Linked DNA regions of Drosophila melanogaster. The protein of the gene in region 1 binds, or shares a complex with, the protein of each later gene. Each region holds a gene or a part of one and is shown on either strand. Other genes may lie near its edges. The genes, in order: GatC and GatB.

Region 1 (4,183 bases):
AAATATCTGTGCAAGCTTTAAACACCCGACTCTTGCAGAGTTCAGGGCCTCCTACGCGGTGGAGCTATGAAAACCGAGGATAAACCCATTTGGTACGATGTGTACGCCGCCTTTCCGCCGAAACTGGAGCCCCGATTCGACAGACCCGCGCCTGAGATTCCAGTGCGCCAGATATTTTATGCCGAGGATGTTGTCCGAGCGTATGTTTTTCACCTGCAGTCGGGCTTATACCAATACTGAACTAATCTTGTACACCAACAGAAAGCTGCATAAAGAAAACAAACCCCAGGAAACGATATCCCTGTTTGACCACAGGCGCAGCACGCAGTCACAGCAATTTGTCCAAATATACCAGGACCTGAAAGGACAAGGAGCCCTGGATGAGCAAAGGATCTACGAGACCGCACTGGATCTTTTGGCGGAGCAGCGCCAGCAGGCCCGCCTGGAGACTACCCCAGAGGAATGCCTGCCAGAGCAGGATTCGGAATCCAAGTCCCAGCTGCTGAGCGACTTCAAGGAGGCTGTGGTGAGCCAGCAAATCACGTCGTCACCAGCACCACCTGCTCCCAAGGGAAAAAAGGAAGCGAACGTGGGCATTAACATAGACAGCTTGTTCAAGGATTAGGCGGAACATCTTTTATAAACTTAAAATAAACTTGTTATATGTAAATCAAACGGCCAATGCATCGTTTTGGGACTCGTGGCTGAGTTGCGTCTGCAGGTTTGACAGCTTGTTCTTCAGCACCTGCACACCCATGACCACAATGTTCTCAGGCTTAAGGGCACCGGCGGATTCGACGTTGAAGAAGAACTTGTTTGGCTTGGCTTCCCAGTTGTAGGGCGCCTCGTACTGGTCGTCCTCCAGTTCGGTGTGCTCGCTCTTTGGCCACTCATCAGGTTTGGGATACAGAGTGTGTCGCATGGAGTTGTCCGGATCATACTCGAAGCACACGCCTGCGGTAGGATTCCACTTGGCGTGCTCCTTGCCAAATCCCTTCTTGGCGTAGGCGCGCAGCTTCAGCTCCTGCCCCTTGCGCAGCTTAATTATGAGGATCTCATCGTTGCTCTCGCCGTACTCGTTGTCCTCCTCACCCTGGTTGCGGGACGTCACCGGCAGGACCTTGGCATTGCTCGACTTGAGATCGGCGGTGGTCACGTGGCGCGTCTGTTCCTCGCTGCACTTTACGTCCAGGGTGAACTCCACGCTGCATTCGGGGCAGAAGTCCAGGCAGATACAGTCACGCGTGTACTGCAGCCGCTCCACGACGTCGTCGGAGATCAGCGGTATCAGACCGATCCGGTGGGCTAAAAACTCATCCGAGAGCACCGTAGAGTTGGCTTCCAGTTGCACCCAGTCGATGGCCAGCGTCGGCGTCTCCGCGATGAACACTCGCCGCAGGCTGTTGGCCACACTCAGTTCCGTGTCCTCCAGGACGAACTTTACGTTGTCGTCCGTCAGCTCGGTTATCTGCACGGACGGCTGGTTGGCGTACGGCATTGCGGTTTTGTTTTGATGAAATTAAAGGGTCACGAAAAAAATAACCCGCTCAGTGAAAAGGAAGCGATGGAAGTGCAGCAATAACAGCCGGCGATAAGTGTGCCGTTATCGATTGTTGTTCTCGTTTCGGATTTATAGCTAGATTTTTAACAATAAGGGCTGGATATATTAAATTGAACAAATGTGATGGAGACATGTTTAATTAAACTAGATCACAATAACAAGAAAATTGCTTTAAATTAAGATAGAATAAACACATAAATCAACATTTTTGCAAGGACAATACTTTTCAGATAACATTTAGCTGATTGTTCCGAAACTCAGTTCCACCTCTGATTTTGTGCTGGTGAGAATGTTGCGTCTGTTCAGCAGCCGTTTTTACTGCAAAATTGCAACAAAATCGAATGAAAAGGCCACTAAATTGGACTTCAAGCAGCTAACGCATCCCACCAAGGTGCCACAGACACCAGTGGACTCGAAGTTTCCCGACACCAGCGCCTCCGAAATCCAGATCGACACGAAAACCATCCAGTTGCTGGAGCGGCTGTCGCTGGTGGATCTGGATAGCGAACGAGCGCTGGCCACGCTAAAGAGCAGCATACAGTTCGCGGACAAGATTGCCCATATCAACACGGAGCACGTGCGTCCACTGTACACGGTCCTGGAGCATCAGCAGCTCCAGTTACGCAACGACCAGGTGACCGAAGGCGATTGCCGGGCGGAGGTGCTCCGGAACGCCAAGGTGACGGACGAGGACTACTTCGTTTCGCCGCCGGGCAACATTCCGCTGGAGCAATGAGTCGCATACAACGATGCTTTAAGTCCCTGGCTTCCGCTGGCTTCTTTCGCACCGTGGAAGACAATAAACTGGAGCTACTGAGTCATGGAAGGGAATACGCCAAACTGTTGCAACAGCATTGGACACGACTACGTCCCTTGGCTGCGCACCTGGGCGCCACGAAAGAACCCATAAATCCAGTCAACATCCAGCGTTTTTCCTTTCCACAAAGCCAGCAATTCCGTAACAATTTCCAAAAACTCGTCAAAGATCATCCTCGAAAGGCCAAATGTCCCACTCTTCTGAAACATCAAAGCACTTGTTCTGGTCCCACTAGCAATTCCCTATTTGGGATAAAGGGTCCTACGCTACATTTAACCACGGACTTCCTAGTGGAACCACATCGCGCACTGGAGCACTTCTACAACATGCAGCGTGAGAGCAAGATCTGGTGGATGCGTCTTTCCTCGAATCCCAGTCGCTACCGCATCGTACCTTGCGATTTGGCTGAGGATCTCAATCCCAACGACTATCAAGCCATCGATATCCGCACGAGCTACGGTGATGCAGGAGAAGTGACCGTGGAGCAACTGAGCCTGGTGAGAATAGTGGACGACAAAGACTTCCGGCTGCCCGATGCGCGAACGGGTGAAATTGTGCAACCGACTGTCATAAGGTCTGTGATAGAGCTGGAAACTACCACCTGCGGTAAGTGGTCATCATAACTATCTTTGAAAATCTTTCTATATTATTATCCTTTAGCTCTGCTTCTGGATGGCTGTGATCATGGCCGGGACTCGCAATCCCTGCTCTTACACCGCGTTCTGGCGCCATATCAATGTGGAATTGCCTGTGTGGAAAGTGATTCCGAGCTATCTGCTGACTTGTCTGATCTTTGTCAGCATCTGAAACATGTTCTCAACCACGCCGGTCTTAGACTTTCTGAAGGGGATGGAATTCGTACGACGAAGAACGCTTCTCATTTAGCAGAGCACTTGCTGGAAACGGATATGCTCGGCATACCTTATACACTTGTTATAAACGAGCAAACGCTAAGAAACGGACTGATGCAGTTGCGCAGCCGGGACACAAGGCTGGCGGAGACCATACACATAAGCGATGTACCGGACTATTTATTAAATATATTTAAAAACTAAAAAAAACAACCAGGGGCTACATAAAGTCGCAGAGATATTGGCGGACATTAAAGCCCACCACCTTGCCAATCTGCAGGACAAACTCCAAGCCAATGGTGCACTGCAGCCTAGCGGAACCTTCCATTATGTTTTGTTCGCCGGAGACGAAGCTTAGTAGATTGAGGTGCACCAAAGTTGAGATCTGGGAGAGAAGGTTGCAGGTCAGACCGACTTTCTCCTCTAGAATGGCGTAGAAAATGGCCAGCAAACGATCGATGCTAAAGGATTTGGGTCCCAAAGTGGTGGACATTTTCTCCGTGGTCTAAAAGGTATTAAAATAAGCAAATGGAGTCATCGAAAAATTGAATAACCCACCTTGGCTCTGGCGTTGACCGTCTGCATCCGCTTTCGCTGTTTTCCATGGTGCTTGACGAACAATCGCTTGTCCTGCTTGGCGGCATTGTGGCTGGCTAAGAAGGCAGCGATCAACAGAAATTTGGCATAGTAGGGCAGCTCCAGCGACTGCGCCAGCTTGCGAACGCTCTGATCTTCTATGGCGGTGAAATCTTCAACTTCTTCCGCGGGTTTTTCAATTCGCATATAAATCTGGGTTAAGGCGGAACGCAGTGGTCCAGCTATATGCCGCCAAAGCCGGGAGATGTCCGTGGCATCCACAGTGCCGTCGAGTACAGGCTCCAAGTATGTGGACAGACACTTCCTGGCGGTCAGCTGGAGCTCTGGAACATCGCGACAGGCTTTGTAAAAGACGCT
Region 2 (4,932 bases), on another chromosome or scaffold:
CAGATCGCTCCACGTTATGCCTGTCCTGGATGACCTGCGACAGGCGACGGTCATAGGCAGTTCCTCTGTTGACCTCCAGATATGAGTGGCTGCTCTCCTCCGCCTCGCGAGAGACATCCGGGAAACTGAACTGACTCTGCTGGTCCTTGCGCATGGGTGAAGAAGGCTGGCTTACGGCGAAGATAGCTCTCACAGCATGCGAATTGACCGCACGTCCCGGCTGCTTGATATCCCTCATATCCTTTAAGGGGGTGGTTTCCGGTGTGGCCTCCACAGCTGCTTCGGGCGGTGAGGAGCCAGTCATGCCAACCATAAGCTGAGAGTTCATAGCCGGTTGTAGTGGCAAAATAAACGATGTGGTGGGTGTAAGCGGTATGCCGCTACTGGTCGTGGCAATCTCGTTATGCGGACTCCAGATCGGACCCACATCATCACCCGAGGCAAACGAATCGAAGCGGGTGTAGACATTTCTCGATTGCTGAAACTCCCTCAGCTGATAGCTGTAGTCCGTATTCGAGGTATTTGAAGTCATGCGACTGTATCCTGGCGTCATGGGATACGCATAGCTGCCGTCTTCGTTGCTCGTCTCGGGCAAGAGGACGGGCAGCGATAGGTTGGCGCACTCCATAACCACGTCATGCGGCTCCATCTCCTTCCATCGCGTATTGTTTACCTCAGTCTCTGGCGTGGCCGTCACCAGCATGGGATGCACTCGCACAGTGTTCAACAGCGGCTTGATTGTATGCTGGAAGATGCCCCCGCCGTTGCCTCGCTTGATGAACTCCACTAAATAGGCAATAAAGCTGCACGGATACATGCCGTACAGGCGGTGAAATAGCATCTGTAGACCCAACTGCAGGTGGACGAGCTTCTCGTCCGGCAGTTTATTGCTATTCTGCAGCTTCCACGAGGCCAAATGCCCGAACACCTCAAACAGATCGTTAAGAAAGTTGGGCACAGAATTCGGTATGATCGGCAGCAGAGTAATTATGCACAACAGGGCGCTCATCAGCGGAACTATCTCCTTCTCGTGCTGTCAGAGAAATGGAAGTGATGCTGAACTCGGACAAAATTGTAAACACCCATAAACTCACCGTCATAAGCTTAAAAACACTTTTGATCAGCCGGTGTTTCTCGATCTTGTACAGCCAAGTAGGGTGATGGCGCACAATGAAGCAGAACACCTGGAGGCTCTGCACTCGGTGCTGCGACTGCTTTAGGCAGTCGTCCAGCTTGTCAAAGATGTACCCATCGTGAGGTGCCTGGGCTTTGACCAGTACCTCCAAAATGCGCTGAGATCCAGTTGTAAAGAAGTAGTCCAGCATGAACTTTACCACCCACTGCTCCTTGTCTGTGGGGAAATGGTATGTTGGAATAGGTGGCATATTAACTGAAACTGGCGAGGACTCACTCTGGGATAGCAACTCCACAAGCTTGCGCTTGGCCTCCTCGTTCTCCAGCGTCATGTTGGACTCCAGGTCACCAATGATCTTCTCAATCACCATGACGGCGGCTTTATTGGTTTCCTGTCGCTATGATTGATTTTTCCGCCCGCCCTCGGTCGACTGTTCCTGCTCCTGCTACTCCGCTCCTGGTCCTTCTACTCCACTCACTCGTCGTCGTGGTTGTCTTTTGCAGAGCTGCGTGTGCTTTTTCTCGTCTTGGTCGCTGTGAACTGGAGAACAAGGGTTGGCATTGAAATTCCCACTGCGTTCGATGCACTGCACTATTGTTTCGGTTGTGGAGTGCACATTTAAAATGCTTACCTCTGCTAAACTCATATTTTTTTACATGTTTGTCTTGAAAATGAAAAGGTTATTTTTTTGTGATATTCCTCTTGCGCTGTTATCGCCAGCCAATCGATGGTTTTGTCTGGCAACGCCGCTGGCGAATGTCCGGCAGCTTTGGCCGCAATCAAAACAACATCAGCTGTTTTGGCGCAACTTTTTGCCAATTCCGGTGCGAATGTTATAATCGATGTAAAATAATGCATTACTCAATAATCCGAAAACTGGTAACGGCGCCAAAGCTAGCCAACGTTCCCAAAAGGTAATTATGTGAATTAATATTATAAGGATTCATTCCAACGCTCTGAATTTCAGGAAATGGAAAAGCGTTGTGGGTTTGGAGGTGCACGCACAGATTGCCAGTGCGTCCAAACTGTTTTCCGGCAGTGGCACATCCTTTGGAGCACCACTTAACTCTTCGGTGGCGTATTTTGATGCCTCCATACCGGGAACATTGCCAGTGAGAATAGGTACTCTCACTTAAGACGCCATCATTACATTGTATCCTCTGCTTTTAGGTTCTCAACAGAAAATGTGTGGAATCCGGCATTAAGACATCACTTGCTTTGGGATGTCGGGTGAACGAAGTGTCCATGTTTGACCGCAAGCACTACTTCTATGCAGATTTGCCTGTAAGATTCAAATTTCAGTTTACACCACGCTAAGCCTTATAAGTAATAAACTTCTCCTCCCCAGAATGGCTACCAAATCACGCAGCAGCGCGCCGCTTTGGCCAATGATGGAAAAATGACTTTCCCCGTGATAACACCAGGCAAAAAAGTTTACTACAAGACCGCCAAACTACTGCAGTTGCAATTGGAACAGGATAGTGGTAAATCTCTGCACGATGATTATCTCAAAAGGAGCCTGGTTGACCTTAATCGTGCTGGACTTCCTCTAATGGAGCTGGTTTTTGCACCAGATTTAGAAACGGGCGAAGAAGCGGCATCGCTGGTCAAGGAATTAATACTGATACTAAGGCGTCTGCAGACATGCAGTTGTAAAATGGAAGGTGAGTCAAAAGGGATTTGTGTGCCTTTTTTTAAACCGAGTATTTTTTATTGTAGAGGGCGCCCTGCGTGTGGATGCCAACATATCCATTCACCAAGAAGGCGATCCCTTGGGAGTCCGCACCGAAGTAAAAAACATTGGCTCGGTTCGAAGCATTTCGCAAGCAATTACGTATGAAATTAATAGACAGCTAGAAACTGTGGCTAATGGCGGTGTAATTACAAATGAGACTCGCAACTGGGATGCGGAGAACCGGCGCACAGTGGCCATGCGTGACAAAGAGGTGCTGCAGGACTACAGATTCATGCCGGAGCCGAATCTACCACCCCTTCATGTAAACCTAAAGCCTGGATCAATGTCAACAGAGGATTTACTTTCAGTGGCTGCTCTAAGCGAGGAAATTCCAGAATTACCAGAGGACACCAGGCAACGTTTGGTGGAGCAGCACAACCTGAATGCGGAAACTGCCATCATTTTAGTGGTGCGTGCTCTGATCCTTTTTGAGTCAACAAAAAATTTGAAATTGCAACACTCCTCGATTTTATTTCAGAACGAACCTATTCTGCTGGATCATTTCTTGAGCATTACCCGTAGTTTAAGTGATTTGCCCAACAAAGTCATTTGCAATTTTCTTATAAACGATTTGTTGACCTATTGCAACAAATTGAACTTAGATGTGGAGGATTGGTAATAATAGGGAGTAACATACCTAATGAATTTTACTAATTTATTGTGTTCATCCTAATGTAGCTCCATTAAGGCTGATGATTTGAAAGATATATTAATGAGCTTGCATGCCGAGCTGATAAATCTCCAGGCAGCACGTCAGCTGGTTGATCTGCTTCATAATAACCCCAAAGCGAAAGTCAGTGAGGTAAGCTTCGCCTAATATTCCAAATTTATGAGATTACACACATTATCTTCCCATCACAGCTAATCGAACTGCACAGCCTGCAGCAAATCTGCAGTCCGGACGAGATCGAGAACCTGTGCCAGCTGGCTATCGCCAACCAGGCCAAGGCAGTCGAACAGTACCAGAAAGGCAAGGCAAAAGCTTTGTTCGCGATCGCAGGCGAAGTTGCCAAACTGTCGTCCCAAAAGGCCAACATGAAGCTGGTAGTGCAGCGTCTGGAAAAGCTGCTAAAACCCACCAATAAGTAAGAGATCTGGTCGATAGTTGTGTTCATTAGGAGTGTGTTTCGCTTGTATATATTTTATAAAAATGCAGTCGACAAACCGCACTGTATATAGGATTAAATATGCTAAGTATTAAATATAGTTGCTTTGTTTCGTGCTGACTAGTTCGGTGTTCTGGCCAATGTGTAAATGCAAATGATGTTAATTGTCGTGTGATATATAGTTCGGTGTTCTCCCACGTTCAGGGAGAATCGGAACTCGTGACCCATTAATGCATAGATATTTATGTGGAGATGTAAGGATGGCATCATCGCTGCGACTGGATGGAACGCACTATATTCGATTGTCTAACAGGGCAGACAATGAACAGCTAGAATTGTACTAAGGCAAACGAGTTGAAATGCACGTGATGATTAACTCAGATGCGTCTGGAGGACTCCAGGAAGCCTTTTTCTAAATAAATGCAAATGGCAGTGAGCGTTACGTCTTCTTGGCGGGATCAAATTTAACCAAATCTTAACTTCACATCACTCTAATCGCGATCATAGTCCCGGCAGCTCGACGGTGGCAGGCTCATTGAAACGGCCGAGTCGAGACTGAAATGTATAATGTAATTTAGTTTTGGAAGAACAAATAAGGGCATGCAACTCACCGCCGGCTCTCGCTTTCCAAGAGATGGGGATCCACCGGGTGCTGGGAGACATTGCGCAGGGAATCTCCTAGGGTGCTCCTCAGATGCTGCATTTCTCTATTGGCCTTCGAGCTGCGTAGAATGTACTGCTGTCGCCGTTTGGCCTCCTGGGCCAACTGCTCGCGCAGCATTGAGATCTGTAAAGTGAGGGAGTTGAAATAGATCTTATACCTTCAAATTTGCATAGGATAACCAACCTGGTTCTCCAGGCGCAGCACTTGTTGCCGATGCGACTGCTCCCTGGCGTCAAGAAGCTTCTCTGCGTGCATCTGAGCACTGCGATAACGATCTCCATCTAAGCCATCA

The links.
Region 2: GatC (region 1) and GatB share a complex: the UniProt entries of both Drosophila melanogaster proteins name them as parts of the heterotrimeric GatCAB amidotransferase (AdT) complex.

The regions. Positions count from the first base shown.
Region 1 is NT_033779.5:13,830,739-13,834,921, reverse strand, and holds GatC (Glutamyl-tRNA amidotransferase, subunit C), read left to right. Parts: upstream 1-1,816; 5' UTR 1,817-1,850; coding exon 1,851-2,297; coding exon of another isoform or gene 2,298-2,984; intron 2,985-3,038; coding exon of another isoform or gene 3,039-3,433; 3' UTR 3,434-3,440; downstream 3,441-4,183. Other genes in the region: mRpS23 (mitochondrial ribosomal protein S23), read left to right, coding at 39-200, 262-625; Polr2C (RNA polymerase II subunit C), read right to left, coding at 671-1,498; PolG2 (DNA polymerase gamma subunit 2), read left to right, coding at 2,294-2,984, 3,039-3,433; Orc5 (origin recognition complex subunit 5), read right to left, coding at 3,450-3,734, 3,788-4,183. UniProt on the Drosophila melanogaster protein: Allows the formation of correctly charged Gln-tRNA(Gln) through the transamidation of misacylated Glu-tRNA(Gln) in the mitochondria. The reaction takes place in the presence of glutamine and ATP through an activated gamma-phospho-Glu-tRNA(Gln).
Region 2 is NT_033777.3:24,127,239-24,132,170, reverse strand, and holds GatB (Glutamyl-tRNA amidotransferase, subunit B), read left to right. Parts: upstream 1-1,915; 5' UTR 1,916-1,987; coding exon 1,988-2,049; intron 2,050-2,102; coding exon 2,103-2,247; intron 2,248-2,305; coding exon 2,306-2,419; intron 2,420-2,483; coding exon 2,484-2,799; intron 2,800-2,854; coding exon 2,855-3,279; intron 3,280-3,348; coding exon 3,349-3,485; intron 3,486-3,548; coding exon 3,549-3,672; intron 3,673-3,731; coding exon 3,732-3,959; 3' UTR 3,960-4,122; downstream 4,123-4,932. Other genes in the region: Tsc1, read right to left, coding at 1-1,033, 1,095-1,351, 1,412-1,505; Root (rootletin), read right to left, coding at 4,468-4,531, 4,588-4,763, 4,824-4,932. UniProt on the Drosophila melanogaster protein: Allows the formation of correctly charged Gln-tRNA(Gln) through the transamidation of misacylated Glu-tRNA(Gln) in the mitochondria. The reaction takes place in the presence of glutamine and ATP through an activated gamma-phospho-Glu-tRNA(Gln).